Linked DNA regions of Notamacropus eugenii. The protein of the gene in region 1 purifies or fractionates together with the protein of each later gene. This does not show direct contact. Links are inferred from orthologs where the notes say so. Each region holds a gene or a part of one and is shown in the gene's direction. Other genes may lie near its edges. The genes, in order: CCNA2, PHF8, PKMYT1 and SCAPER.

Region 1 (6,897 bases):
GATCTCTATGCAAAGAGAGACAATTGCATGTCATACCAGATTGAGAACTAGCCCCAGAGCCAGGAAGACCTGGGTGCCAGTCCTGCCATGGAATCCTGGGCAGGCCACTTAACTCTTCAGTGCTTGAGGCACCTTTCTGATGAGGCCTGCATTGGTAGAGAGCATTTCCTCACCTGGGAGTTACCTGTGCCAATGAAATCACACCAAGTCCATCCCTAGCCCTGGGTAAAGCATTTCCTGTGGCTGTAGAATGATGAGCAGATCTGAGGAGGACGTGGTGATGCTGGCCTTGTCATCGTATCCCCAGGCTCCTGACAATGATTGGAACAGGGGGCACTCAGTGAGCGCTTCTTTGTGCCTCCTGGTCCTGGCCCTCATGAGGACAGGCTGCTTTGACACTGAAAAGAGCTAGAGGGAGTAGGTGGCCCCTTCCCTTCTGGTGTTTAAATGCAACCAGAAAGTAAAACAGCAACCTGACCAAATCAAGCTGGGAACCAGGGTTTTCAGTGGTATATCTAGAGATCTGGTTAAGGTCAGGGGTTGTCTGCATTGTGGCAAAATAACTAGTCAACTCCATTTTTTAAAAGTTAGCCTGACTAGGCTACAACACTGTTAGTGTTGTATAACAAAGCAGCCATTCAATTGCTTGTCTCTGTCCCCTTTTTAAAGTCCTTATAACGGTGAATTAGACCCTGAAACTTTGATACTCTAGAACAGTGGGGTTCCTCTGTATGGGTTCCCCATTCGGTCCCCACCTCTCTTCAAAGACTGAGCAGCTGTGGAGGCTGAGCTGGGGGTGTCACAGCAGCCTGCCCAGACCAGGGACCACATGAGTGTGGCAGAGTAGCTCAGGGCTGAGTCAGGCCAAGAGGTAGCAGCAGCTGTCCAAGAGGCCCAGGGGCCTATGGGCCCATGTGAGCAGCTGCTGGGAGCCTCCCGGGCCCAGGGTTGGGCTAGGCCCAGACAGTTGCTGGGAAGTAAGAAGAAACCAGCATTTGTGTACCTGCCATGTGCTCAGCGCTGGGCCACCCGAGACAGAAGCAGAGCAGTCCCTGCCCTGGAGGCCTTAATGCTCCACCTGGGGGACAATGTGCCCAGATTTAGGTCTGTACAAAACAGGTACAGGATAATTGGATGGCAGGGCCCTGGGACCCAGGCCGCTGGTGAGGCTGGGTGAGGATGCTGAGGGCAGTGGCTGGTTTGGAGTCACTGCCAGCCCTCTGACTGTCAGATCTGATGGCCTTTCTTCAGTCTTCATGGAGCAGGCTGTCAGTCTCCTCTCCTGGCTTTCCTTCTTCCTGGCTCCATCTCCTTTGCTAGATCTCCCCCAGATCCCGGCCTCTGTCCTGAGCCCTCTCCTGTTCTCCCTCTGTACTGTTGCACTTGGTCGCCTCTCAAGCTCTGTGGAAGCAGTGTCTCTGTGCTGATGACTCTCCAGGCCCACCCTCTCTGCTCACCTCCAGTGTCTCCCCACCGACTGCCTGTTGGACATCTTGAACAACTCAACATGTACCAAACCAAGCTCACTTTCTTTTCCCCACTGTTCCTGCTCCTTCCTTCTCTTTTCTCAGGTCACCCAGGCTCCCAGCCTCCATGTCACCCTCACTCCCTCAGGTCCCTATATCCAATCCTCTCCCTTATTCCTCTTTCTCTTCTGATACTGCTGTTCCCCCCTCCCCCCCCCCCCCCCACACACACACACTGGGGCTGGCCCTTCTCAGCTCACCTCTGGATTATTTTGGTGGCCTTCTTGTGGGACTGCCTGCCTCAAGTCTCCTCCATTCATCCCCCAGTGAGCTTCCTAAAATGCAGCACTGGCCATGTCACTCTCCCGTGCTTGGGAAATTCCAGTGGCCTCCCAATCAATCATCTCTGTGACTAAATATAAAATTTTTAGAGACCTCTGTCCTACAAGTTGGGTTTCTTATACTCAATATTTTTAAGAACAGTGACTGACTCTTCTGTGATTTCAATGATGAAATCCCAAGTCTGGACAAATAAGAAAGGTGAGGGATCCTTAAAAAGGCCATTTTGAGTGGCTTATTCATCTCTAGGAAAACGTGTTGTCTTGGGTCGTGAAAGCTAATGGCTGAACATGAGCATTCCTCTTTCAGGCATGATCACTGACCTCTTCATCGATAAGTTCAAGTTCAAAGGCACCAATGTGAAGAGCAAAGTCCCTCTTCTGCTGGAGATTCTGGACAGTTACGACCAAAGTGCCCTCATGGCTTTCTTTGATGCTGCTTAAACTGTGCATCGGAATGGCCCAGCATGTCAAGTGGGTCCCAGATTAGATTGATGACATGTTTACACAGTTTGGACTCCATCGCAGATGGATCGTCTGGATGTCGTCCTGACATTTTCAGGAAATTGTATTTTTGGTGAGATGGTTCGTTAAAAAAAAATGACAATTTTTTTACTTTGTCAAAAAAAAAAAGCTAATTTTGAGAGTTGTGAAGATGACTTACTTACTGATGTCCTCTTCTTTGAATATGGATGTTTTGAAAGTAATAACATTCCAATATGGCAGGAGAGTTGGTTCCATGGTTTCAAACATGCTTTCACGTGTATTCCCATCTGATCCTTATGACATCCTCAGAAGGTACAATGGATCGTTATTATTATCCTCACTGTACAATGAGGGAACTGAGTCAGGCACCATGAGAGAAAGAGATCTAGTATCATGGGAATATACTCTGAGAACTGGCACGGTCTCACTTTACAGGACTTGTTCCAGATCCCATAGCTAGTGTCTGGCTCCTAATCCACGTGTCTCCCGTTAGATCCACCATGATTTCTTTGTATAGGTAATGCCCTTGGTCTTCTGATTATTGTTTCAGTAATGGCTCTGGTTATGCTAAATAATAAAGCTGGTGGGTCTGATGGCCCCCATGTGAGAGGTGGCACCCCGGCTGTGCCCAGCCATGGAGAACAAGGACTGGCTCTGTGACTTGGCTCACAAGCCATAGGGGAGGTACGGAGTGATGCTGCAAAGGTGAGGGAAGGAGGGAATCTTCTTGCCAGTCATCGGCCAGGTACCCTTTTCTAGTCTTTGAGGAATAAAGGACACATACGCTGTAGGATCACATTAGATTCCTTTTCAGTGAACATCATCGTATTTAAGTTTATGAGGAATCAATAAAAATAACAGTCTGGCTAAACAAACGGTTGTTCTCCAGGATGGGATTTTTGTTTGTGTGAACAGTGAGAGAATGATTTAACTGGGAACAGGGTTGGCCGCCCTCCGTCCTGTTTGCTTACTTAAATTTGAAAGTGGCATTTAAGACCTCGAGTCTGCTGGGGGCGGAGGCATTTTCAGAGGGCATCCCTGGCAGACGAGGAGGACGCTGGGCGGGGGTGGGGGCCGCCAGCCGTCTTAGGCTGCCCCCAATCTCTCCAAGGTGCCCCCCAGCAAGGGGCAGGCGCGTGTTCCGCAGACGTGGCTTCTTTGGGGGAGGGCAGGCATCCTGGGCCAGGCTGGGGCCCTGGGGTAACTGTTCTGGGCTCAGAGGCTGGCATTCCTCCTTGGAAGGGGGCTGGCTGCGCCCTCCCGGGCCATTGCTGACAGCTTTCCCGTCCTCACCTGCCCGGAGCTGCCCTTGCCCTGGCTCCCCTCGGGCGGCTTCCTCTGCCCCCACCCCGTGCCTGGAGAAGGCTCGGCCTCGGTGCCCGGCGCCCCTCCCGCAGCGGAGAGTCCTCCCCCGCCCCTGCACCCCCCCATTCCCCCCCCCCAGCCGGGGGCGGCCGGGGCGGGGCAGGGCGGAAGCTCCTCCCCTCCCTCCCCTCTCCCCTCCCCCTCTCCCCATCCTCCCTCCCTCCCTCCCCCCCTCCCCTCCCTCCGCCCGCCCCCCGCCCGCGTGCGCGCTGACGTGCGACGCCCGCGGCTGCCATTGGCTCATTTCAATAGTCGCGGGCCGCTTGAACCGCGGTGAGCAGAGCCCGGGGCCGCGGCCTGGGCAGCGGCTGGAGGCGGGAGCTGCTGCGGCCGCGCGGGGCCTAGCGCGTGTCGGTGCGCGGTGCGGCCGGCCCGGAGTGCGCCGAGGGCCCGGAGGGAGCGGAGGGGAGCGGAGCGGAGCGGAGAGCGCGGGCCCGGGCCCGGCAGGCTGGCCCCCCGCCATGCTGGGCCACACGGCGGCGGGGCCCCGGGCCGCCGGCCCCGACGAGAACCAGGAGAACGTGCACCCGGACAAGCGCGGCGGCGCCGAGCCCGCCAGGACGCGCACCGTGCTGGGCGTGCTGCGGGCCAACGTGCGGGCCCCGGGCCCGGGCCCCGGCCTCGGGCCGGCGGCCGCCCTGGCCCCGCAGAAGTCCAAGAGCCGCAGGGTGAGGCGCGGGGCAGGGTAGGCGCGGGCCGGGGGGGGGGGGGGGGCGGTGCGGGCGGAACCCCCGAGGCCCCGCGTTCCTGCGCGGGCGGGACCTGAGCGCGCGCGGGCTCCGGGGGGGGTGGGGGCCCCCGGGAGAGCTCGGAGCCCTCGGGCGTGCCGGCGTTTGCGCGGGATCGCTGCGGGAGCCGGCGCGGCGCCTCCCCTCCCCCCAGGAAGTGGCAGCTGTCAAGCGCGGGGCGTGGGGCCCCGTGCCGGCCGGGGTGCCCGGGGTGCCCGGGGCTCGGCGTCACCCGCCCGCCCGCCTTTGCAGGTGGCTGCGCCCCTCCGGGATGTCCTGCTCCAGGATGAGCAGCCTCCCGTCCCGCCCTGGAACGCCCCCGGCAAGCAGCCCGCTTTCACCATTCACGTGGACGAGCCCCAGGCCGGCCCTGGCCAGAAGGCCGCCGGCCCCGGGAAGGACGACCTGGAGGACCAGGCGCTGGCCTTGCAGTCCGCCACGTCCCTGCAGGACGCCCGCAGGCCCCTGGTGCCCCTGGACTACCCCATGGACGGCAGCTTCGGTAAGGGCGCGGGGTGGGGTGGGGTGGGCACCGGGGAGGGGCCGGGCCAGGGAGCGGGCACCCCGGAGGGGCCGGGGCCGGGAGCGGGGGCAGTGGGCACCCCGGAGGGGCCGGGGCCGGGAGCGGGGGCAGTGGGCACCCCGGAGGGGCCGGGGCCGGGGCCGGGAGCGGGGGCAGTGGGCACCCCGGAGGGGCCGGGGCAGGGAGCGGGGGCAGTGGGCATCGCGGAGGGGCCGGCAGAGCCGGACTTGCCCAGCCCTGGGAGCCAAGTTGTCTGTTCCCAGACCCTGCTGAGGTTGGGAGCCTGCCATGGCTCAGGCTGCGCAGAGTGCCCCCAAAACGTGGGGCGCACAGGAGAGCTTGGGCAGGGAGGGTGGTCTCCTCCCACCTGGGCTTCCCCGAGGCTCCCACAGAACTTAGGGCTATACAGCCGGTAGAATTGCTAGAGGCAGCAGAAGATCCGAGTTCAAGTCCGGCCCCTTCGGCCACCCTGGGCAAGTCATTTCGCTTCTCAGCTCCGGCGTCTTCAGCTGTGAGGTGGGCATCACCACCACACGGGGCTCCCAGGGCTGTTGTGAGTACGGGAGGAGACAGCGTTTGTGAAGCGTGGTTAACGCGGTGCCACCTAAATGCGCAGTTGTTGTTGTTGCCTATGAAGTCAGCTACGCCGCCCGACAGAATTACTCCTGGACAGCGGCCGTGTGCCGGGACTGACTTGATGGACAGCCCTTCTCAGCAGTGCCAGGCCCTAAAACGTTTCCAAAGGACCCACGATGGAAAATGCCCTCCACACCAGAGAAAGATCTGTGAAGTCAGACTACAAAACCAAGCCACTGTGTTTTTGTTTTTTCTTTCTCATGGTTTCTCCCATTCATTCTAATTCTTCTACACAAAAAGACTAATGTGAAAATATATTTAATAGGAATGTATATATAGGGCCCATATCAGATTGCAAGCTGTCTTGGGGAGGAGGGAGGGGAGCGAGGGAGAGAAAATTTAAAACTTACTGAAGTGAATGTTGAAAACTTAAAAAAAAACCAAAAAAACCACTCACCAAGCAGGATAGTGTCCGTTCCATTGGGGTCTGTAAGATTTTATGCTAGTGCTATGACCTTGCATGCCTTCACTTGTGAACCTCAGTTTCCTTGTTCAGAGAATGGGAATGTTGGTGATTCTCACTGAAGTGAAGAAAGCCCTTGGTAAAGCTAAAGCGCTATTGAAATCCAGGTTGTCGGTGTTATTACTAGAGATGCCCAGAAAGAGGATTGATGGCATTTATATGAATTCCATTTACCAGGGTCACGGGTTGACTGGGGTCAACCACCTGACTTTCTGCCCTTTAAACACTTAAAATGAACCTTTGCTCTGTCTCTTCTGAAATTTCCTCAGAATCTCCCCTTACTATGGACATGTCAGTGGTGCTGGAACCGGAGGAAAAGCCACCAAATGTCAATGAAGTCCCTGACTACCATGAAGACATCTATCTGTACCTTAGGGAGATGGAGGTAAAACTGAGTTTGTGAAGGGATGACTTGCTAGTCAGAACAGCGCACAGGGTCCAGCTGCCCTGACCCTCAGCTGCTGGCTTCTCTTACCAGGTTAAGTGTAAGCCCAAGGTGGGCTACATGAAGAAGCAGCCCGACATCACCAACAGCATGCGTGCCATTTTGGTGGACTGGCTGGTGGAGGTGGGGGAAGAGTACAAGCTCCAGAACGAGACTCTCCACTTGGCTGTGAACTACATTGACAGGTTCCTGTCCTCCATGTCTGTGCTTCGGGGGAAGCTTCAGCTGGTGGGGACGGCTGCCATGCTCCTCGCCTCGTAAGTCAACCCCTGGGGTGGGAGGCAGGATTAAACAACTTACTGGTCACCTCCGGAACCAGGCCTGCTTGCAGGGGTGTGCAGAACAGGCGTGACGGTGTTACATGTACGGGCCAGCAGGCTGACTTGTGCTGCTGACAGGGACGGGGCTGGCAAGAACTTTTCATTTTTTCCAAAATGTTAGTGTGTT
Region 2 (6,986 bases), on another chromosome or scaffold:
AGCTATGACTTAATTCTCAGTGGAGAGAGTATCCATACTGAAGAAACCATGGCTACTGTCAACTCTCAAGTGTTTCCCTCTGTTCATGGCAGCACTGGATTGTAGCTGCCCTGTTTCCAAAGCATCTGCAACTGCAACCCTAGGAGTACAATTTCTTAGCCTTTGTGTCTTTTCACGGTTCTGCAGATGGAGTGTCCAAGCTGCCAGAGCACATCATGAGTCAGCTCCAGCCTCAGGTAAACAGCCAGCCCAGAGACAGCAGCCAAGTAGCAGGAGAGGCTCCATCTGACTACAGAAGCTGAGATGAAGAGGCCTTTCCTCATTCCAGGCTGTAAGAATGGTCCCAGTCACCCTTTTGCTCTGGCCTATGGACCTGGGTTTGAAACAAGCCCAAGGTGGTCCCACAAGTGCTGTCAGAGATTCTTCCTCCATTGGCAGTAGTTCCAGTTTGGAATTTCTTGTCTCCCCAGGAGCTTTCTTCTGTTTAATAGGCATGACACCCAGTTAGGGTTATCCAAATAGATGTTCTCAATCCTGATTTCAGCCAGTTTTTCACTTGCTTCTCTCCTGGCCTCTAACTCAGGCAGTCAGATAGCTATGTGGTTTTGGTGGGGGGTTGGGTCAGTGATGATTAAAATTTGGTTTTTTACATTTGTGCAAAAGACAAAAGGTCTCGGTACTCATACTAGGGGATTCAAGTGAATCTGACAACTTTGGGGCAGATATTCCTGCCTCTGAATTGATGTATTACCTGTACAATGGAAAGACTGGAGAACTTCCCCAGAAGTAGGGTACAAAGGGATAGATTAAAATTGGACTAAAAAATTAATAAAAATAATAAAATTGGACTGTGGGTGTATGTGAGTATGTATCTGCATGTGTGACTGAGTGCCTTTCTGGTTACATCCAATCTTGTACATAGGAGGCCATGTATATCTACACACATGCCTTTTATCTAGAGCCCCAGAGCTCTCCCTTCTCTCACATGTTTCCCAGAAATGCTTATACTGTTACAGAGAGGTAGGGTTCACAAGAAACCCTGCTAAGGCTTAGTCCATCCCCTATATCCTTCCCTCCAAGCTACATGGAAAATGCTGTTCCATCCAAAGACTGTTCTGATAGGTATTTCTCAAGAGAGAAACACTGACATTGGAGCAAGCTTCTAGTACATGAAGATCGCTTGGAGGATGGACATTTCTTCCTGGGGTCCCAGAGGTTGGGGAGAGGGGAGGGCTTGGAGAATCAGCCAGTTGGCCAGGGCTGAGATAGGTTACTGCCTCAAGTTTGTGGATTGATGGGGACCACTGAACTAGCACCAGGAGCAAGGAGCTATTTGTTCACTGACACTGTACCACTTCAGTCTTTTCATTAGTGTTTGGCTCCAGGAATTCTAACGTGGGCCCTAGGAAGAGGGTCTGGTGGTCAGTCCAAGTGCCAGCTCCTTGAATGATAACTGCCCCACTTTGATGGACGTCTGTGGGCAGCTTTGTTTTTCTGGATGAGGCTCAGTTTAGCTCTCAGGCCCCGAAGGAGAGGCTTTTGACACTTGAGTGATCTCATGTTTCTTTTTTCAGTGATCCAATCTCCTGGCTGGTCACAGCCTCCCTAAGTAACACATTCCCCTCTAGTGTGCCAAATGACTAGCTTCTTCTAAGAGGGATGTTTCTTTCTCATTGCCTGCCTTCCCCCTTTCACTGAATACTGAAGCCTGCCCCCCCGCCCCCCAGCTCTTTGGTGATTGCTTGTTTGCTACTTCTAGCCACTTAGGAAATGTTGCAAACCATTTCAAACCTGTCTTTTTGCCTTGGACAGTCAGCTTTGTCCTCTCAGTGGAATTGATTGGAATTGATAAGGGACCAGGAGGAAGTTGCCCATAGTGCACTCTGTGCTGAGAAGGCTCCTGATCTGGAAGAAAGCCATGAGGTTCCCACCTGCTGCTTTCTTGGCCAACTTTCTGCCATTGCGACTTCCCTGGGGACTTGGAGTTCCTGCTTCCCTTTATCTTGCTCTTTGTTTTTTAGATATTGAAAAACAGGGTACAAATAAGACTGAGGAACACTCACACTGCTGACCAGGAAGGGGCTCCTTGACATGTGAGAAGCCCTGGAGAGGGGGGTTTCAGGGGGACTAGCTCTTGACTGGGAAATGAGGGGTTTTTGCTGCATTGTGGAGGTGGTGAGGTTTCTCTTGATCTTTAGCTAGCAGGAATCACAGTAGAGCTTTAAAAACCCTGACCTGCTGAAAGACAGGAAAGACTCTGCTAAGTGTGGAGTTATGTACTTCCTTTTGAGGGAAATGTCAAGTTACTGATGTCTAAAGCTCCACAAACCTAGTGGGAATCTAGTCAACTGTTTGGCCAAAGAATGCCATAAGCCCAGCTTCAAAGCTCAGGGATGCCCAGTTTCCTGACAGATGTCACTTTGTCCAGCTGGAGCTTTTTCTAAATGTGGAGGATTGGGATACTAGGTTTACTTGCATCTCTCTGTAATAATGAATCAGGCTAAGAGGTAGAGAGAGCTTGACTCATCCTTGGCAGGGTGGCATTTTCATGCTGTGGCAAGACCTTGTTCATTTCCTGTGCCAAGTTTTTTTTGGTTATGGAGTTCTTTCCCAGGGTGAACAGTGCAAGAGCGCACACACACACACACACGCGCGCGCGCACACACACACACTTTTAGATTGTTCAGGCCTGTATGAAGCCTGGTACTCTGAACCCTTCAGTGGGCCGAGCCCCGCGTGCCCCGGCACCAGACTTCTGGTGGCATTATCGCCATCTTTGGTGTCTGCCGCCCAGATTGGGTCCCAGTGACAAAGGCCGAGGGGGGCGGGGAAGGAGGAAGAAGCCCCAGAGGCAGGTGACAGCAATTGGCCTCTCGTTGCGCGGCCTTCCGTTCCGTTTCACGCGCAATGACCACCTGGTTTGTTCCTCTTTCTCCCAGAGCTCTTTGCGGCCTCGGTTGGTGGAACGGCCACAGTTCTAGATGGCTGGGCTCGTGAGAATGCGCTGGTCCCCACTGCCCCGCCCCCCGCCCCGCCCCCTGCTCGGCCTCGGGATGCTCAGAACGCTCCGGCTGCTGCGCCCTTTAAGAAACGTTTAGTCTTTTAGGAAAAGTCTCAATTCCCAAGGGTCTGCCTTTGCTTCTCTCCGGCACTCCGTCGGCCCCGCCTCGGGGAGCAGTCGGGGTCAGTGCCTGGGGAAGGGCGGGGCGGGGAGCCCAGTCCACGCCGGGGGGGCGGGGGCGGGGCGAGCTGCGCCTGCGCTAGCCGGCGCTCCGGAGGTGCGGACCTTTCCGCCACGCCCCTGATGGCGCAGGCCGGATTGATTCACGCCTCGCTCAACATGGCGTCTTGTAGCATCCCTCGCGCGGCCGTCCCCTCCTCTCTCGCTCCCACCTCCTGAAGATTTTGAATAAAGTTTATTGGGCGACACGCACCAGCCCGGCCTCCGTTCCGCGGCGGCAAGAAGTGGGAGCCGAAGGGCCGAGGCGGAGGCATCGGCGGCCAGGGGGCGGGGCTAGATCCGGAAGCTGGTCCGAGGCCCCGCCCTCCTGGGAGGAGGGGCTGGAAGGGGGCGGGACCTGAGGGCGGGGCGGCCGCCGCCGTGGTCCTCTTCGCCGCCGCCGCCGCTGCCGTGATCGTGGCCGCCGTCCTGGTCGTGGTCGCCGTCCTCGTCGTGGTGGTCGCGGTCGCCGCCGCCGCGCGTGACCGAGCCGGAAGGCCGCCGGGGAGTCAGGCCCGGCTCCGTCGTCGACGTGACGTAACGTGACGTCGCCCAGCGGGGGGCGGGGAGAGCGCCCGTGCCCGCGCTCGCGCCCGCGCTCGTGCTCGCTACTCGCCCCCCGCGCTGCGACTGCTCCCACCGCCGCTGCCGCCGCCGCTCCAGCCGCTGTCGTCCGCAGCCCGGCTCCCGGGCCCGGCTCCGCCGCCCGCCCGTCCCCCCCGGGCCCCAGGCCGCGCCGCCCATGTCCGCGCCGCCGGCCTCCGGCGGCCAGCCCTGCCCCCCGCGGGGGGCGCGGGCCCAGGAGCGGGCTGAGGCGCGGGCCCAGGCGCGGGCCAAGATGGCTTCCCCGCCGGTCTACTGCCTGTGCCGGCTGCCCTACGACGTGACCCGCTTCATGATCGAGTGCGACCTGTGCCAGGACTGGTTCCACGGCAGGTGAGCGCCCCCCCCCCCCCCCCCGCGCCCTCCCCTTCTCCCGGCCTTCCTACCCTGGGGGGCCTCCCTCCGCTGGGCACCTGTTGCCCTTGTTGCCCGGTGGGGGCGGGGCCCAGGGCACAGATGCCCCGTCATTGTCTTTCCCAGTGAGGGCTCCCCACGGAGTACCCTCCAGTCCTTGGGGCCAGCATCCATTGAGCACCTGCTGTGTGCTCGGCTCTGGGCTCCAGGATAACTTGTAAACAAGACCGATGCCGGATGAATGGAGAATGGGATCGGAGCCGAGCCTGATGAAGGGGAGCGCCCCGGAGAATCAGAGGAGCGGGGGGCCAGGACTTGGGAAGGACTTGGAACCCCAAAACAGAGCGTTTGCCAGAGGCCATAGGGAGCCGCTGGAATGGAGGGGTGGGGGACATGGTCAGAACCACTTTAGGAAGATTGCTTTGGTGGCTGAATGAACTTAGGTGGGGAGAGACCCGCCATGGTCCAGGCCTGTACCAGGGTCGGGGGCAGGGGCAGAGGAGACAGTGGATATGGTGGTGAGAGAAGTCTGGGACAAGACCTGGGTCATCAGCCTGGGGCATGAGAGGGTGGCATTGATCTCTACAGTAGTAGGGGAGGATGGGGTTCGCAAACACCCTATAGGCTAACTCCAACATTGTGGTGTAACATGTTGGTCTTCTACAAAAACAAGGACAAACACCAACGGCTGGGAAGGTAGGAGATGGGGAAAGGTTGAGGGGGAAAGATGGTGAGTTCTGTTTTAGACTTGTGGAGTTTCAGGCGCCCACTGGACATCCAATTGGAGAGGTTTGGGAGGCAGATGGAGATGCTAGGAGGTCAGCAGGGAGGCTGGGGCAGGAAAGGGAGATGGGAGAATCCTCTGCCTCCAGAGAGATGGTCTTTCAATCTAGGGGGAGACGGAGGCCACAGAGGAGTCAAAATGAGAAGAGACTTTTGGATCTGACAACTAAGAGATCACTGGCAACTTTAGAACAGTTAACAGTGAAACAATGTAGTTGAAAGCTGGGTTATAAAAGGTCAAGAAGATAGTGTGAGGATACAAAGTAGAGGCAGCTATTGTGAGTTTGAGGAGTTCTGAAAAAATAGTGGATATGTGAGAGATAGAGGGAAGGAGCCAGGAGATAGGGAGTGCTTGAAGATGTGAAGGGAGCAGGGCTGACAGAGAGGTGCCACACTGGAAGGGGAGGGCCGGGTCTTGGTAAGGACTAAGGCCACCTCTTTGTGTGAGACAGGTGAGGGAGGCTGTGGGGCAGAGGGCACCTGAGGGATAGGAGATGGGGAGAAGGTGCAGCTCTCAGTGAGTGACCCCAATTGATTCTGTAAGCTATGAGGCATGGTTTTCAGCTGCAGGAGGGGGATAAGGGGATAGGAAATGGGAGGTTTCAGGAGGGAGGAAAAGGTTTTGGGACCAGTGAGTGAGGCCCATATGGTAGGACTGCCTAACAGCAGTGAGAGCTCAGGTGACATGTAACAGTCTGACCCAGTCAGAACAGTAACTCAGTTTTCCCCACCTTCATGCAGCAGCCCCTGTGGAGGGAACGGACAGCAAGAGTGATCCAAGGCCAAGGGAGGGCTGAGCATGATGGGTAATATAAAGGGGTGAGAGATTTGAGAGAGGAGAATCTCCAGAGTTGGACTGGATTATCAAGGGATCATGATGGGGAAAGGAGATTGTGGCCAGTGCAGTGGACATGGCCCAGGAGAGAGCAAAATTCAAAAGAAGGTGCTTCTCAAAGGGCCAACCTGGAAAAAGGCCGGGGAAGAGTGCTGCATTTAACTCCTACACAGGGATCCATTTGTGGTGGTGGTTCTGCAGTTGTTTTCAGTCAGACCTGAGTCTTCATGACCTCATTGGCAGAGATACTGCACTAGTTTGCCATTTCCTTCACCACCTCATTTTACAGAAGAGGAAACTGAGGCAAACAGGGTGACTTGCCCAGGGTCACCCAACTAGGAAGTGTCCGAGGCCAGATTTGAACTCAGGAAGATGAGTCTCCCTGACTCCAGACCTGACAATTTATGCTCTATGGTGCCACCCAGCTGCCTAATCTATTTTTAGCTGACCCTTGAAACACCTGGGGACCATTGCTGTGAATCTAGAATGATAAAATGATTCGGGCAGAGCCATTAAAAGCTGGGTGCTGGCCTTCAGGGGAAGCCTGATAGGGCCCAACTCCCCCTCCCCCATGTGACTCCCCACTTAAGCACAGTGCTGGCCCCCACACTTCAGTGGTATGTCCTTGAAGAGGGCCTTTCCACCTACTTTTCTCTGCAACCTTCAAACTGCCCCATCATAGCCCTTGGGGCAGATGTGCTCAAGCCTTTCATGTCGGTTTTCTGCAGGCCCCTTCTGGTCCTGGAGCCAACATCCCCACTAGGAGCCAGGGGGCAGCTAGACAGCTGGGGGCAGCTCACCTAGGCCCCCCCAGCTGCTGTGATTGCCCAAAGGGTCATTCAGAAGGTGATGCCCAATGGGTCTGGTTCATTTCTGGCTGCTGCTGGTGCCATACCTTGACTCTTCTGTGTCTATCTTGACCAGAGGGGCTTCCCTCCCCCAGCTTAGCATTTCTGGTGGAGATGAGGGAATTTCTAGGACTCTGGCAGTTGTCCTCCATAGAGAGAATCTCTTCCTCTTCACCATCTCCCTCAAGTGTGTATGTGCCTGGTGGCCCTGACTCTGCTTCTTTGGCCATCTTGCCAGCACTTTGAATGGAGGCTGGGTCCTATTTGACCTGAGTAGGAACTGTAAAGGGGAGATTCCCTGCAGGCAAGTGATTGAAGGGATCCCTGAAAGAGCAGGCGCACT
Region 3 (6,951 bases), on another chromosome or scaffold:
GGTAGGGTAGAGAGTACTCCACCTATAAAGGGGGTGCTGAAACATGTCTAATCCCCACATATGAAAAGAACTGTCAGATATAGTAGGCTTCCTCCTCTTTATGTAATACAGAGCCACATGCCCTTCTTCCTTGGCCTAGGTTCCTTTCAATTTGGTTGAGGGCTTAATGATGCAAAACTATGTGTACATAATGTTTCAAAAGTCTATTTTAGAACTTCAGCTTGTATTTTACCCCTACTCAGATGTTTAAGCTTTGGGAAAATCTCCAAATTTAGCTCATGTCTTGTTTCCCATTACTAATTTTATCTCTTTGTGTGATCCAAAGACAAAAAATACTCAAATTATAGTTTAAGTATATTTACTGAAAGATAAAATACAGTAATGAGATTTCCCAGATAGCTGCTCCATTTCCCCAATAAAAAGCATACCATTTCTTTAGTAACTCCTGTGCTGTAACCCATTAATAGTTTGAATTTTCCCTGTTCACAGTAAAAGTCTGAAGGGGAAGATGAACCGAATCAGCTCAGCAAAATCTGCTTCAGCTTCCATCGCCAGCAATCACAAACTCAAGATGCAGGCATGCCACCCCGTCAATAGAGCTTCCCAGGCTGTTGTCATTACTTGGCCCTCGGTGACCAATTTACTTATTTGACTCGGCTTCAGCAGGTCTCTCTCCAAAGTTCTTAGGCTCTAGAGAGAGTCTGCTACCACTCAAGATAAGTCCCTCTCAAGTTGTTTCATTGGTACTCTGCTGTGACTGTCCTTATAGTTCTTCATGGCTTTCTTACTAAGCAATTTGTCTTTTAGAAGTGGCTCATTTCAGGTGACAAGTCACTATATTCTCATTCTGCTTCTGTAGTGCACAGTTCTGAAGGTAAGGGGAAGAACTGGGGAAGTGGAAGGAAAGATCGAACCTTGTAAATATTGATAACATCCCAAAGGGCAATTGACAAGCTGGAGAAAGATGACTAGAATGATGATGAGAATAGAAACCATGACACATGAAGCTAGTTGAAGAAAACAAGCTTAGCTGGCTTATTTTGTAGAGGAAACTTTTTGGGGTACAAGTTGGACTAGATGTAACCCCAGGTCACTTTCAGTTCTTCCTGTTAATGAAAGATACCAGTACTTAAAGGGCATTCATGGGGATCAAAGATTAGACTTCTACTTGGCTCCAGAGGGCAGAAATAAATACACTATGACCAGGTGGGATTTATGCCAGGAATGCAGGACTGGCTCAATATTAGGAAAACTATGAGAATAACTGACCATATCAATACCACAATTAAGAGAAATCACATGATTATCTCAATCGATGCCAGAAAAAGCTTTTGACAAAAAACAGCACCCACTCCTATTAAAAACACTAGAGAGCACAGGAATAAATGGAGTTTTCCTTAAAATGATTAGCATCCATCTCAAACCATCAGCAGCAAGCATTATACATAATGAGGATAAGCTAGAAGTATTTCCAATAAGATGAGGAGTGAAACAAGGATATCCATTATCACCACTGTTATTCAATAATTGTATTAGAAATGTTAGCTTTAGCAATAAGGTAAGGAAAATAAATTGAAAGAATTAAAATAGGCAATGAGGAAACAAAGCTATCACTCTTTGCACTCTTTGCAGATGATATGATAGTGTACTTAGAGAATCCTAGAGAATCAATTAAAAAACTACTTGAAATAATTAACAACTTTAGCAAAATTGCATGATATAAAATATACCCAAATAAATCACTGGCATTTCTATATATTACCAACATGACCCAGCAGCAAGAGATGGAGAAATTCCATTTAAATAACTGTAGACAATATAAAATATTTGGAAGTCTACCTGACAAGAAAAATCCAGGAACTATATGAACATGAAGGGCAGAAATAGGAGCAATAGGGTGGAGGTTGAAGAGTGGAAGATTTAAGTTTGGTATTAAAAAAACTTCTTAACAATTAAACCTACACAAAATGGGAAATAGGGTGCCTTAGGGTGGGTGGAGGAGTAAGGAGTCCCCCTCTCTGGAAGTCTTCAAGGAGAGTCTGGATAATAATAATTAATAAGCTATTAAAGCTTTAATTACTTAAAGCTGCATGAGGACTTTTGGGGATACCCTTTATAATATCATTGGGGCAGCTAGGTGATGAAGCGGATATAGTATCAAGGTCTGGAGTCCAGATAGCTTCCTGAGTTGAAAATCTGGCCTTAGTAGCTGTGCGACTGTGGGCAAGTCACTTAACCCTGCTTGCCTCAGTTTCTTCATCTGTAAAATGAGCTGGAGAAGGAAATGGCAAACCACTCCACTATCTTTGCCGTAAAAGCCCCAAATGGGGTCATGAAGTCAAACAAGAATGAAAAGCAACTCAACAATTACAGTATCTTTAAAGTATACAAATTACATGTGTGTGTACATACGCATGTATGTATGTATACACACATATACAATTTCATTTGAGCTTCACAGTAACCCAGTGAGTACTGCAAGCATGATTAAATCCTTTCACAGATTGAAAACTTGTACTTAGAAAAGGTAAATAATTTGCTCATGATGACACAGTGTTAGCTGAGGTGATAGATTTGAAGCCTTACTTCCTCATACTCTAAACCCATTTTATACACACTGTGCCAGGTCAGATGACTGCTTTTGCTTGTTATATTGCAGAAGGCATGGTCATCTGGACATAAGTTTGATTAGATGACTTTTGAGGTCTCTTCTAATTCTGAGCTTCTGTGATTCTTGGGCACGAGAGGAGACAAGACAGAGGCGAAGGACAGGTAATGACCGACCTATCTTGGGGTGCCACAGAGAAGTCCTTTGTCTTTCCTTTTCAATGCAGCCTACCATCACTGATTGTCCCATTGACATCTCTGGATCTTTTTGCATTTCTTCCTGTGTGACCCTTCTTTAAGTATGAATGTCCCCATTCCCAAAATGAGGTCGGTTGGCTTAGATCATTAAGATAACCGATTACAGATCATTGATAAACTGAAAAGTATCCAGAGGAGGGCCACTGGGACTATGCAGAGCCTGAAACAACGCCCTATGAAGACTGGTTGAAGGAATTAGGAATGTCAAGCCTGGAGAAGAATTCCAGGAGAAAAGGATACATGTGTTCAAGTATTTGAAGGCTGCCATGTGGAAGACAGAGATTAGATATATTGTTTGGTCCTAGAAGGGCATTTACAGTATGCCAGGCCTCTAGTTAAGTGGTTTACAAATATTACTGGGAGGGAGGTGATATTATTGTCCCCATTTTACAGATGAGGGAACCGAGGCAAACAGAGGTTAAGTGACTTGCCCAAGGTCACACGGCTAGTAAGTGTCTGAGGCCGGACTTGACCTCGGGAAGATGAATGTTCCTCCAACTCCATCCACTGGCCTACCTAGCTGCCTCTGGCCAGGAGGGTGGGACTGGGAACAATGGGATGGAAGGTGCAAAGAGCCAGATTCAAGCTTGATGTCAGGTCAAACTTCTTAATGCTTACAGAGATGTTCCCCTCGGGATACAGCTGGCTCCCCTTCATCCTAGGTCTTCAAGTACAGCCCGGATGACCACTGCTCAGGTTCTGTGGAGATTCTCTTTCCCGTGTGGACTGGACTGGATAGCAAGCTTTTACATCCCAGGATTCCTTCCGGCTCAGACTTTCGGGAGTTCTCGCCCGGGAGAGGGAGGCTGCGGGACAGCCACGTGCAGCGTCCAGCCAAGTACCTGCGGAGCTGGTTCCACGGTGGGTGGGGCCGGGAGGGGCGGGGCTTCTCAGCTGGAAGGCCCGCCCCGCGGCTTCACTGACGTCGCCCAGGGAGCGAGTAGGCGGGGCCTAGCGCCTCACCCGGCTACGTGTGGAGATACGTGATGGGGACGGGCTAGAAGCGGCGCCACTTATTGGTGAATCCATCATGAGGAGGCGGGGCTAAAGGCATTCCTGGGCGGAGCCCACGAGACTCATTTGGAATTTTTGGCGCGAGAAGGCGCCGCGCGCGCGCATGGGACCCTTCCAGTTCCACCGACCCCTCCGCGCGCTGGAGTCTTTGGAACCGGCCGACGTCTGGACCCTCCCCTCCCCTGCCTTGTCCCTCCTCCCTCCCCCACTGCGCGGGACCCTGAAGGCTGGCCCCGTGCCGAACCGGCTCATCCGGGGCACCCGGAGCAGGAGCCCGAGCCCCACCTGGTGGTGAGCGTCTGACCCCTGACCCTGAGGAGACCCCTGACCTTCGGTAACAGCCCCAGCCCTGGCCTCCCGAGCTCCAGGTACCGCGGGCTCGCCCCTCTCAGAGCCCGCCCTCAGCCCCTCCTTCAGAGCCTAGTCCCCTCGCTGACAACCCTGGCCATCCGGTCTTCCCTCTGCCCCGCCCCCCAAGCCCCTTCCCCTCCTAGATCGCTCTTCGTCCCCCAGTCTCCCGGCCCCGCCCCTCCCTGGCTGCTCTTCCTCCCTCGGCCCCTCCTCTTCCCTTCCCTCTCTTGAGCAGCCCTCCTTCGGGGGCCCCCAACCCTTCCCTGGCCCGACAGCCTCTCCCCTTCTCCTCCTACTCGGCCCCTGCCCTGCCCTTCACTCCCTGACGGACCATCCCTTGGTCTTACCCTCCCCTCCCCACACTCCTCCCTCCTCCTGCTTCCTCCTCCTCTGGCCGCCCTTCCCCTTCCAGGATCTTTCCTTGACCCGAGCCCCTTTTTCCCACCCTGGGTAACAGGCACCCTGTTCCCTTCCGTTCTCACTCTCCTCCTTCGTGGACCCCGAAACTCAGTCTCCTCGTTTCCAGTAGCAGCTTCCCTGGCCCCCGCACTCCTTTCCAGTAGTAACCCTGGGCCCCCGAATGACGGGCATTCCCGCCTCCCGCCCCGGCAGCCGATGCACCAAACCCGGCCCGTTTTGTGAACTCTTGTTGTTTTCTGAGGAATGTGTCCCCTGTAGCCACCTCCTTTTGGCTGGACGTGTGTAGCATTTGGTTTGCCAGGATGTCCAAGGTCTAGAAGGGACACAGGAGGAGTGTGGTGGAGTCCGGCTCCTTTGACATGGTAGCCAGGGAGCTGGGACTTGTAATTCCTAGAGGAGAGGAGGGAGTGACTGGTTCTGAAGCCGTTCTGAGCAGGCCTAACTGAGGGTTATCCTGTGCTGTTTGGGCTTATTTTGTTGTGCCTGTGTGTTCTGGGAGGATTTCTTTCTTCAATGCAAGCTGCCCTGTCCTGTGATCCAGGCCTTCTGCTTGCTTTCAATTTAGCAAAACATTTACTCCAAGTAGTTACTATGTTCAAAAATTGGTCCTTGTCCTTGGGGATACAAAAAAGGTGGCTGACACATTCCAACAGAAGCTTGCAATCTGGTCAGGGGATAAGACACATACACAGATATCTATATGTTGGAATGTGATTAAGTGGATAGGAGGGGTCAGATAGAATGACAGGAGAGATTTAGGGTAGGTTGCAATCATTTCTAGCTGGGAGATGGGGGAAATTATCATGAAGAAAAGGACCGCTTGAGTTGGGTCTTGAAAGAATGGAAGAATTTCCACATGTAGAGATGTGTAGAGGTTGCATTCTGAGGGATTGAGGGCAGCATGGGCTGAGGAGAATATATTGAATATAATAATATTGAAGAATGATGAATAGTCCAGGAATGTAGAATGCCAGAAGGGTTATATAATGAGAAATGACTGGAAATGTAAGTTGGTGCCAGATTGTGGAAAGTGTTGAGGGCTAAAATAATTTAATCCTAATTCTATAAACAATGAGAAGACTGAAGTTTTGTCATTTGTGAGCTATTTCTTATGACAATTTAACCTACTCTTAGTAGTTACTGACTTCCTTTGTTTTGTAGGGTCTCCTTTGCTGGTCATGCCAGTCCCAACAGAAGGGACCCCTCCACCCCTCAGTGGTACTCCTGTGCCTGTTCCTGCCTACTTTCGTCATGCTGAGCCTGGCTTCTCTCTTAAGAGGCCTGGGGGCCTGAACAGAAGCCTACCACCACGGCCTCCTGCCAAAGGGAGTGGTTCTGTTAGTCGCTTCTTTCCCCCTAGAACTCCAGGCTGGAGCCAGCCCAGACCCAGAGGAGTTTCATTTCGAGGTGGGCCCCCAGGAGCATTGCAGAGCCGTGGCTATGACCCAGACCGGCCTGAGTCTTTCTTTCAGCAGAGTTTCCAGAGACTTGGGCGATTGGGACGGGGTTCCTTTGGGGAAGTCTTCAAGGTGAGTGGAGAGATGGGGATTCCTTGGTCCCATAATTAAATTCCACCTCTTTTCTTCTGATCAGTTCTTTCAAGGAAGCCAGTTATGTCTCTACTTAGAGCCCCATCTCCTAATAAAGGTTCTAGCCTTGTGTTGCAGGTCTCAAAGTCTTCTGCTTGGAAATAGCTTTTTCAAATGAAATTGATACACTGTTCTTGATTTTGTATCCAGAGCTTTTTCCTTTTACTATGTTCAAAAATTTTCTAATGACCCAACTCCAATTGAAACTTAGTCCTGAGTTTCTGGAACTTCCTAATCCCTTCCCCTGTTTGGCTCTGGAAATTTAAAAATCTACTACATACACAGAGTCCCCAAACCACTTCCCCTTCTACTGATGTTCTGCTGATACCATATTTTGGTGCCCATTTCTGACACATACTTCCTTTTTTCCCTTCTCTCCCCTGTTTCCGCATATATCAAAACACAGAATCACATTTTTTAAAGGTTTATTTCAGAAGGACAAGTAAACATTCAAATTCAGAAATAATATGCTTAGAAGTATATGGAATTAACTTCATTTATTAAACACATACTGTATGCAAAGTAATGTGCTAGGCACTGAAGATTTAAAGATTAAAAAACAAACAGTTTCTGTCGTCAAAGATCTGACATTTTACTAGGGTGATATGACATGTACACAGTTAAGTAAAATATGATAGGGAGTGAAAGGGGCAAAGGAGAAATGAGACAAAATAGGAATATTCAAGGAGGGAGAGTACTAATAACTAAGGAT
Region 4 (6,953 bases), on another chromosome or scaffold:
GGAGAGAGAGTGGGGTAGAATAGTGGGCTGGCCTCAAAGTCCGGAAGACCCTAGGGAAGTCTCTTAAAACAATAAGTTATGGATCTGTATTGGTAGAGGGAGTTTCTATACAGAGTTACCTACATCAATGAAATATCATCATCATCACTACCACCATCATCATCATCACCACCACCAGCATCAGCATCATCACCATCATCATCATTTTAATCAGTACACAAGTACTCAAATCCATGTGGATTTTTTTCTCCATTGATGCTGATCACAGCCCCTCCATTTCTGCCCATGATGGGTGACACTTGTCCAAGTCATCTCGTAAGTCCAACAGGCTAGAAGCCTTCCTTGATTCCTGCTGACATTGACACAATACTCACAGAGCACTCAGGCTGTCTACCTGTCCTCTCCCTCTCACCTGATGACCAACTCATCATGCATTTCCCTGCTGATGCTCTACTGTGCAATTCTTTGTTGGGGACAAGTTGCAGGGTCTATGTTCCTACAGAAGTATAAATGTAAGGGGATCTAGCCAGATGCCTTTGGCCATTGCTGCTCCTGGTGGTGGTGATGCCCATGGTACCAGGTGTAAGAAAACGTATATAACATGGAGAAATGTCATGGTGTAGAATATAAAGGAGTATAGTTGACATCAAGAGAGATGTAGGTTTGCCTCCTGAACTAGACCTTCATTAACTTTATGAATTTGGCCAAATCACTTCACTCCCCCAAACCTCAGTTTCCTCATTTGCTTAAGGGGGAGAATTTGATCCCAGTTTCTCCTGTCTTCCAGTCTGGTACTCTAGCTACCATGTCACATTACCAGTTACCTTAGAGCTCAAATAATTGTAAAAGTTTTTATTGTGGAAGCTAACTAAAGTGCATCCCTGTTCTCTCTTTTATCCAAATATTAAGCACTTGCTATGTGCTGTGCACTGTGCTAAGTGCTTTACAATTATTACCTCATTTGATCCTCACAACAACCATATCTGTGGAAGGCGCTATTATGATCTCCATTGTATCAATGAGGAAAGTGAGGCAAACAGGGTTAAGTGACTTGCCCAAGGTCACACAGCTAATCAGTGTCTGAGGCTGAATTTGAAGTCAGGTCTTCCAGCACTGTATCCATTGGGTGACCTAGCTGCCACTATTACAATATCACAAGTATCACAATTATTGCAAATATTACAATATTACAAAATAATATCAGGACAGCACTTTAGTCTGAAGTCCTTAGTCTAATCTGAACAATGATGGGGTGATGGGACCTGGACCCTAGTCCCTGGCATCTCACCTAAGGCATATGTCTCACCCCATTCCACCATGATTCCTTAATGAGCTTATTTGATACTCCTTAATCCCATCTAGATCTTTTCACTGTTGCATCTGGCCCACCTCAGGCTATTTGCCACTCTTTAATCCCGTCCAAATCTTCTCAAGGTCTTTTTTGTATGTTAGTATCAGTCCCATCCTCATCAAATTTGCAGACTCATTAAGAATTTTGCCCACTTTTATCGATGATACAGTAGCAGATTTGCTAAGAATCTCACCTGCTCCTATTGGCGTTACAAATAAACCTTGCTACTTTGACTGAAAGAAGGCTTGTGTGCTTGAATTCTTTCCAGGCAGGATTTCCCCCCCATACCCTTACATTTTAGGGTTCCCAGCACCCCAAACTACAACAAACAATAAACCCTTCTAAGACTTTCTTTGACTTTGATGCCCAGTTTCCATATTGAAACCTTTTTACATCATTCCTATTACAGTTTCCAAATGAAGAACTGCTCCCTGAAGTGATGAGGGTAAAGATCAGACTAAAAGAAGGAAAACATCTGTGATTAATTCAGTTAACAGAAGTATCTCTTGAATTGCCTTTGACCAAGCTGAAAGAAGAAAGCTTGGAGGCAGTGATTAAAGACGGATTGAATGATTTTGGGAATCTGATTTTCCAGGGTACACCAAAAGTTATGACTGTTATTGTTTCAAAACTGTCACCTGAAATTCTACCTGAACACTGCAACTATATTTTGTTTGTTGTGGGATTATTTCTTTTGTTTGAGAATTTCAACTTTGCTCTTGAATCCTATAAATTGTATATAGAAAATGGCTTGTGAGGGAAAAATTTTTAAAGGCAGGACTGATTTCTATCCCTTTGTCTTTTTTGCTCTCTAAGCAGAGAAACTTTGAATTTACTTAATTAAAAATGTGTTTCTGGTAGTTTGTATCTCAGACATAAAGTAGAGAATTTTCTTCCACCCCAGATATTTGGGTCTGGGGACTCAAGCCACGGTGGATAATTGTGTTTTTCAAATCCTCCACATCAAACGCACTCATCCACAGAAGCATGAAAAGTAGGTCCTTACCCAAGGACAGATCAACATTAATGATTCTTTTGGTACTAATTTTAGTAGTACTAATTTACTCTATTTTAAAGGTCCATCTCTTTAGGGATGAAATGTCTGTTCTGGGATGTTGGTGATGATCTCAGATTCAGGAATGCAGTAGACTTAAGCCTAAAAGCTACTCTCATCTCCTTTTCAGATGTTTCCTATCCACCAAGGCTTTCCATTTATCACCAGCTTTGCATTATAGCTCCAGAATTTTGTTACAGTCACTTCCAGATGCAAATTGAGCTTTTGTTAACCCATCAGATTTTTGCTTTACTGAAACAGCCTAATTGTGCTTTTCCTTCTCCAACACTGTGGCCTCTACAAGAAGGGTTCAGGTTTTTTCCTGGAGAAGCAAATCTAGAGAAGAAATGTTTTAAAAGAAGTTTATAACAGGAAAGCTCTCATATACTTCCAAATATTTTTACTACCTTTCTTTGGTGTGTATTAGAAAAGAATGAAAAACAAAGTGGATTCCTTTCCTTTGGGAAAGGGCTAAACAGTTTTGGTAACATGAATGTAACAATATTATGATGTATATGAAGAATTCAGAGAAGCATGAGAAGACTTATATGAACTAATAGAGAATGAAGCAATTGGGTTCCCTCCTGACTGGTAAAAATAAACATATTTTATATACCGAGATGAAACAAGAGCCCAAGAGACAAGTGTTTTGGGATAATTAATAGTCAATTTACTAATTAGGCTAGCAAATAACCAATAAATTAATGGCCAGTGGTTTCCCTCAGTTGTTGCTGTGTGCGTCCTTCCTTGCCCAAGAAGACCACGCCTTCAGAGAAGCAATGACGTGACTTGAAATTGACTTTGTTCTGAGGGAGGGAGGGCTGGGCAGCTCACCGGCCTCACTTCTCCTCCAGGGCCCTCTGGATCCAGTGACCAGATATCCATCAGGATGACTGCAGATGGCCCAGGGTGCACTGGGAGCCCTTTAGGCCAAGGTCTTTGCAGTACTCACTCAGGTGAGGTGACTCCAGTTGGCTAAATACGTACATACATACATCCACGCAGGCTCTACGCAGCCTCCGGGCATGTATTTGTCCCATGCTCCATCAGCGCTGACCTCCCAGAGCTCTCGGCAGAAGCCTAGGCTGCTGAGCTCAGCGCACACGAGGAAGCATCCCGTCTGTCCGCGGCCGTGTGGAAGCGCGAGCGTCTTTCTTCGTGTGCCCGACCCTTAGCAGAGAGCCTGCTGCCGTCACTTGACGGGATCTCCTTCTTTAAACTGTCTCTCCTAATTCCGGGCTCCCTGCTGGGCCCCTTCGCGCTTGGCCCGGCACGTGTTTCAGTCTCGGCACGGGGAGGGGGAGGGAAAGGCGCGAAGCTCCGGAGCCCGGACGGACCCCAAGCCCAGCCCAAGGCTCCCCGGCGCAGGCTCACGTTCGCTCCGCCCCTCCCCCGGTGCCCGCCACGCGAGCCGGCCCCGGAGACTCGGGCGCAGCAGGCCACCGCGCCTGCGCACTGCAACCACATCACGTGAGCACGCCGGGAGGCCCCGCCTTCTCCCCGCCCCTCCCCTCCCCTCCCTGTCCTCGCCCCGCCCCCATCCCGGCGGGACGCTCGGAGGCGGCCCCGGACGTTCAGCCTGGCTGGAAGTCAGGCGGGCGGGCGGTCGGCGGGCCGGGGGTGAGTGTCCCGCGGGGGCGCGCGGGCCAGGGAGGGGCGCGGGATGGAGGGTCGTGGGGCTGGGGGGCCGCGGGGCGGGGCAGGCGGCTGGTGACAGCCTCCCGCGGCTGAGGGGACAAGATGGCGGCGAGATGCTCCCCTCCCCCCGGACCCGCCCCCGCCGCCGGCCGGGCTCCGCTCCCGAGACCCCCGGGCCGATGCCGAGGGGGGAGTGGCGGACGGGGGAGAGAAAGGGAGGCATGGAGGGAGGGGTCACTCTGCGCCCCCCAGCCCCGCCCGAGGGGATGCCCCCTCCCCGAGCAGGGGAGGGGGCGGGGGCGCGCTGCTGTCAGTGCCACGTGTATGCCCCTGCGCCTCCTGGAGGTCCGAGCCCCGGGCGGGGGGCGGCCTGGCCGACGCCCCGGACCCCTCCTCGCCGCCGGAGGTTTGCATGCCCCCTCCCCCGTCACCCCGGAGATAGCCGAGCGCCGTCGGCCCCATTTTACAGATGAGAAAACTGAGGCAGGTAGCGGCGAAGTGACTTGCCCAGGGTCCCACGGCTAGGCCGCGTCCGAGGCTGGATTTGAACTCGAGTCCCCGTGGCCCCAGGTCGGCTCTCTCTTCACCCACAAAGACCTAAGCCACACGTGGGTTCTCAGTGTTTGCCTCCCCTGTGCCCGGCCGGGTGCTTTGCACACCCTAGGTGCTTAATAAGTGCTCGTGGAACAGGGGAATCCCTGTGATGGCCTCGTAAGATGGGGAGCCCATTCCCCGCCCCCAGAGGTGAATTGGGGTGTGACTGGCTCAAGGCTGCCCCATGGGCCCCCTCTCCTGGATGCTTTGTATGACCCTTGCCCTGACCTGCCCTGGGCTGCCCTGTGTATCCAGGAAGGGGGGGAGGTCCAGCTGGACCCAGATGACCAGAGCCAAGCAGGGCCTGTCTGTGTGTCCCACCGAGTCTGAAGTGAGGGGCCGGCTAGGCCGGAGTCCAGCTCCCTGTCCGGGCCTGGTGACCCTTCTAACCCTCCTGCGGGGATTCTGCACAAATAACTCCGTAGTGGTGAAGAATTCGAGCTTTCTTCCCCGACAGCTATCAGGAAGTGGGCATGTGCTTGTGTATTTTAATATTCATTGATTTATTTTTAACTAATTGAGGTCATCATCCCGAACCTCTTTTTGCATTACTTAACCTAATTTTCCTCAGCTATAAAATAGGGTTCCTAATAGTACCTGCCTCCCAGGTTGTTATGAGTCAAATGAAAGAAGATTAACAAATTGCTTAGTACAGTGCAGGTCACATAGTAGGTGCTTAATAAATGCTTGTTCCTTCCTTCCTTCCTGCCCACCCACAAATACTGAAGAAATCCTGTAATCCTGTAGGAAACAGCTTTGAAAATGATTGAAGGAACTGATTTGTTGAAAATGTTTTCCTGTGTGACATGATAAGCTGAAAAAACTCCCTCTCCACCTGTCCAATAAAAAACCATTTGCTTTAAGCTCTGTTAAAATGAGTAGAAAGGAGTAAGTTTTTCAAGCTTACTTTTGACCAATATTAGGAGAGTTCATTTACCACACGTTTTCAAGCATCTGTACTCCTATGTGCAAGGCATCGTGAGATGTTTTTTAGGCATTCTTTCATATCACTGGACACAGTGGCAAACACATAATAGGGACTTATTAAATACTTGCTGATTGTTCCACTTAAAGCAGCCTGCAAGGAGTCCTCCACCAAGTTTATCATTGTGGTAGGATCCTGAGTTCCCTTTGGTCTCTTGACAGCAGAATGTAAAGTCTGTTAGGTCCTTCCAAGGTGGCAGATCTGGTGATGCACTGTTGTCTGAGGACTGGTCTAGTGAAGTCTGGAGAAGTCTGTCATCCTAGTGTTGACCATGGGGTCATGAAGATCATCTGCTAGTATATTCTGCTATCTGGATGAAGTCACGGCTCTTTTGAAGTGTTCAGGGGATAATCATAAAGTAACAGAACTAAACAACTCTCTCTCATCAGGCTGATTGAAGTGCCTGAAAATAGAAAGCCAGCCCTTGCCTGGACCAGTTCTCTCTACTCCCATCGTTGAGCTTTGAGCATTGATTAGAGTGCCTTTTGTGCCTCCATGGACACCCCTCCCCAAGACAGTCAACAGGCATTATAAGTGACACTGTTCCCAGACCCTGAGCTGCCCATGCCAAGATTGGGCAGCACGGACCTGTCTCCAAAGAGCTTTTACATTTTTAAAATAAATTTTTATTGATATCTTTTGTTTTTAGTTACCTACAAATTCCATTCTTTTCCTAGAGAACAGTCTCATAACACAGAATAGAAAGATGGAAAGAAAAGCAAACACCAGATAAGCACAACCAACCACTATATAAAAATGCATGGTGTATGCAGTATTCCACCCCAGTAGTCTCTCCCACTTGTGCAAAGCAGACACAGGGGAACTGCTGCCTTCTTCCTTCTCTTTGGCACCAAGCTTGATTGTAATAATTTAAGAACATTGGAGCTTTTAACTGGAGAAGTGACTTTCCTTCTGCTGAAGTCTTTTAGGATTTTGCACCTTTCCCATTTTCATCTTTTCATATTTTATTTTTGTGTATGTGTCTTATCTTCCTTCATAACAACAACAACACATCTCCAGTAACTTATATTTAAGCAGTGATGTAAGGTTTGCTAACTCATTAAACATTTATTTAGTGCCTGCTGTGTGCCAGGCTTTGTGCTAAGCACTAGGGGTGCAAAGAAATATTAATGATGGTGCCTACTCTTGTCTGATGTGAGAGATGCCATTCAAACAGCTATGTGCAAAAAAAACATAGAAGGATAAATGGGCAGTGATCAACCAAGGGAAGACACTGGAGTTAAGAGGTATTAGTAAAGGCTTCCTATAGAAGGCAAGAATTCAGCTGAAATTTGAAGGAAACCAGGGAAGCCTGGAGGGAGTGGAGAGAG

Evidence for each region.
Region 2: the proteins of CCNA2 (region 1) and PHF8 purify together in Homo sapiens (affinity purification with mass spectrometry; 3 studies listed by BioGRID and IntAct, counting the BioPlex papers as one, with this or other methods). This does not show direct contact. The link is inferred for Notamacropus eugenii from reciprocal best matches to the Homo sapiens genes CCNA2 and PHF8.
Region 3: the proteins of CCNA2 (region 1) and PKMYT1 purify together in Homo sapiens (affinity purification with mass spectrometry; 3 studies listed by BioGRID and IntAct, counting the BioPlex papers as one, with this or other methods). This does not show direct contact. The link is inferred for Notamacropus eugenii from reciprocal best matches to the Homo sapiens genes CCNA2 and PKMYT1.
Region 4: the proteins of CCNA2 (region 1) and SCAPER purify together in Homo sapiens (affinity purification with mass spectrometry; 3 studies listed by BioGRID and IntAct, counting the BioPlex papers as one, with this or other methods). This does not show direct contact. The link is inferred for Notamacropus eugenii from reciprocal best matches to the Homo sapiens genes CCNA2 and SCAPER.

The regions. Positions count from the first base shown.
Region 1 is NC_092878.1:162,622,704-162,629,600, forward strand, and holds the start of CCNA2 (cyclin-A2), read left to right. Parts: upstream 1-3,891; 5' UTR 3,892-4,116; coding exon 4,117-4,323; intron 4,324-4,635; coding exon 4,636-4,885; intron 4,886-6,274; coding exon 6,275-6,390; intron 6,391-6,483; coding exon 6,484-6,707; intron 6,708-6,897. Other genes in the region: BBSome complex member BBS7, read left to right, coding at 2,115-2,248. UniProt on the Homo sapiens protein: Cyclin which controls both the G1/S and the G2/M transition phases of the cell cycle. Functions through the formation of specific serine/threonine protein kinase holoenzyme complexes with the cyclin-dependent protein kinases CDK1 or CDK2.
Region 2 is NC_092879.1:102,520,959-102,527,944, reverse strand, and holds the start of PHF8 (histone lysine demethylase PHF8), read left to right. Parts: upstream 1-3,962; coding exon 3,963-4,156; intron 4,157-6,986. UniProt on the Homo sapiens protein: Histone lysine demethylase with selectivity for the di- and monomethyl states that plays a key role cell cycle progression, rDNA transcription and brain development.
Region 3 is NC_092872.1:56,510,803-56,517,753, reverse strand, and holds the start of PKMYT1 (membrane-associated tyrosine- and threonine-specific cdc2-inhibitory kinase), read left to right. Parts: upstream 1-3,945; 5' UTR 3,946-4,170; exon of another isoform or gene 4,171-4,247; intron 4,248-4,855; exon of another isoform or gene 4,856-5,012; intron 5,013-5,811; 5' UTR 5,812-5,828; coding exon 5,829-6,179; intron 6,180-6,951. UniProt on the Homo sapiens protein: Acts as a negative regulator of entry into mitosis (G2 to M transition) by phosphorylation of the CDK1 kinase specifically when CDK1 is complexed to cyclins. Mediates phosphorylation of CDK1 predominantly on 'Thr-14'. Also involved in Golgi fragmentation.
Region 4 is NC_092872.1:256,637,508-256,644,460, reverse strand, and holds the start of SCAPER (S phase cyclin A-associated protein in the endoplasmic reticulum), read left to right. Parts: upstream 1-3,933; 5' UTR 3,934-4,025; intron 4,026-6,953. UniProt on the Homo sapiens protein: CCNA2/CDK2 regulatory protein that transiently maintains CCNA2 in the cytoplasm.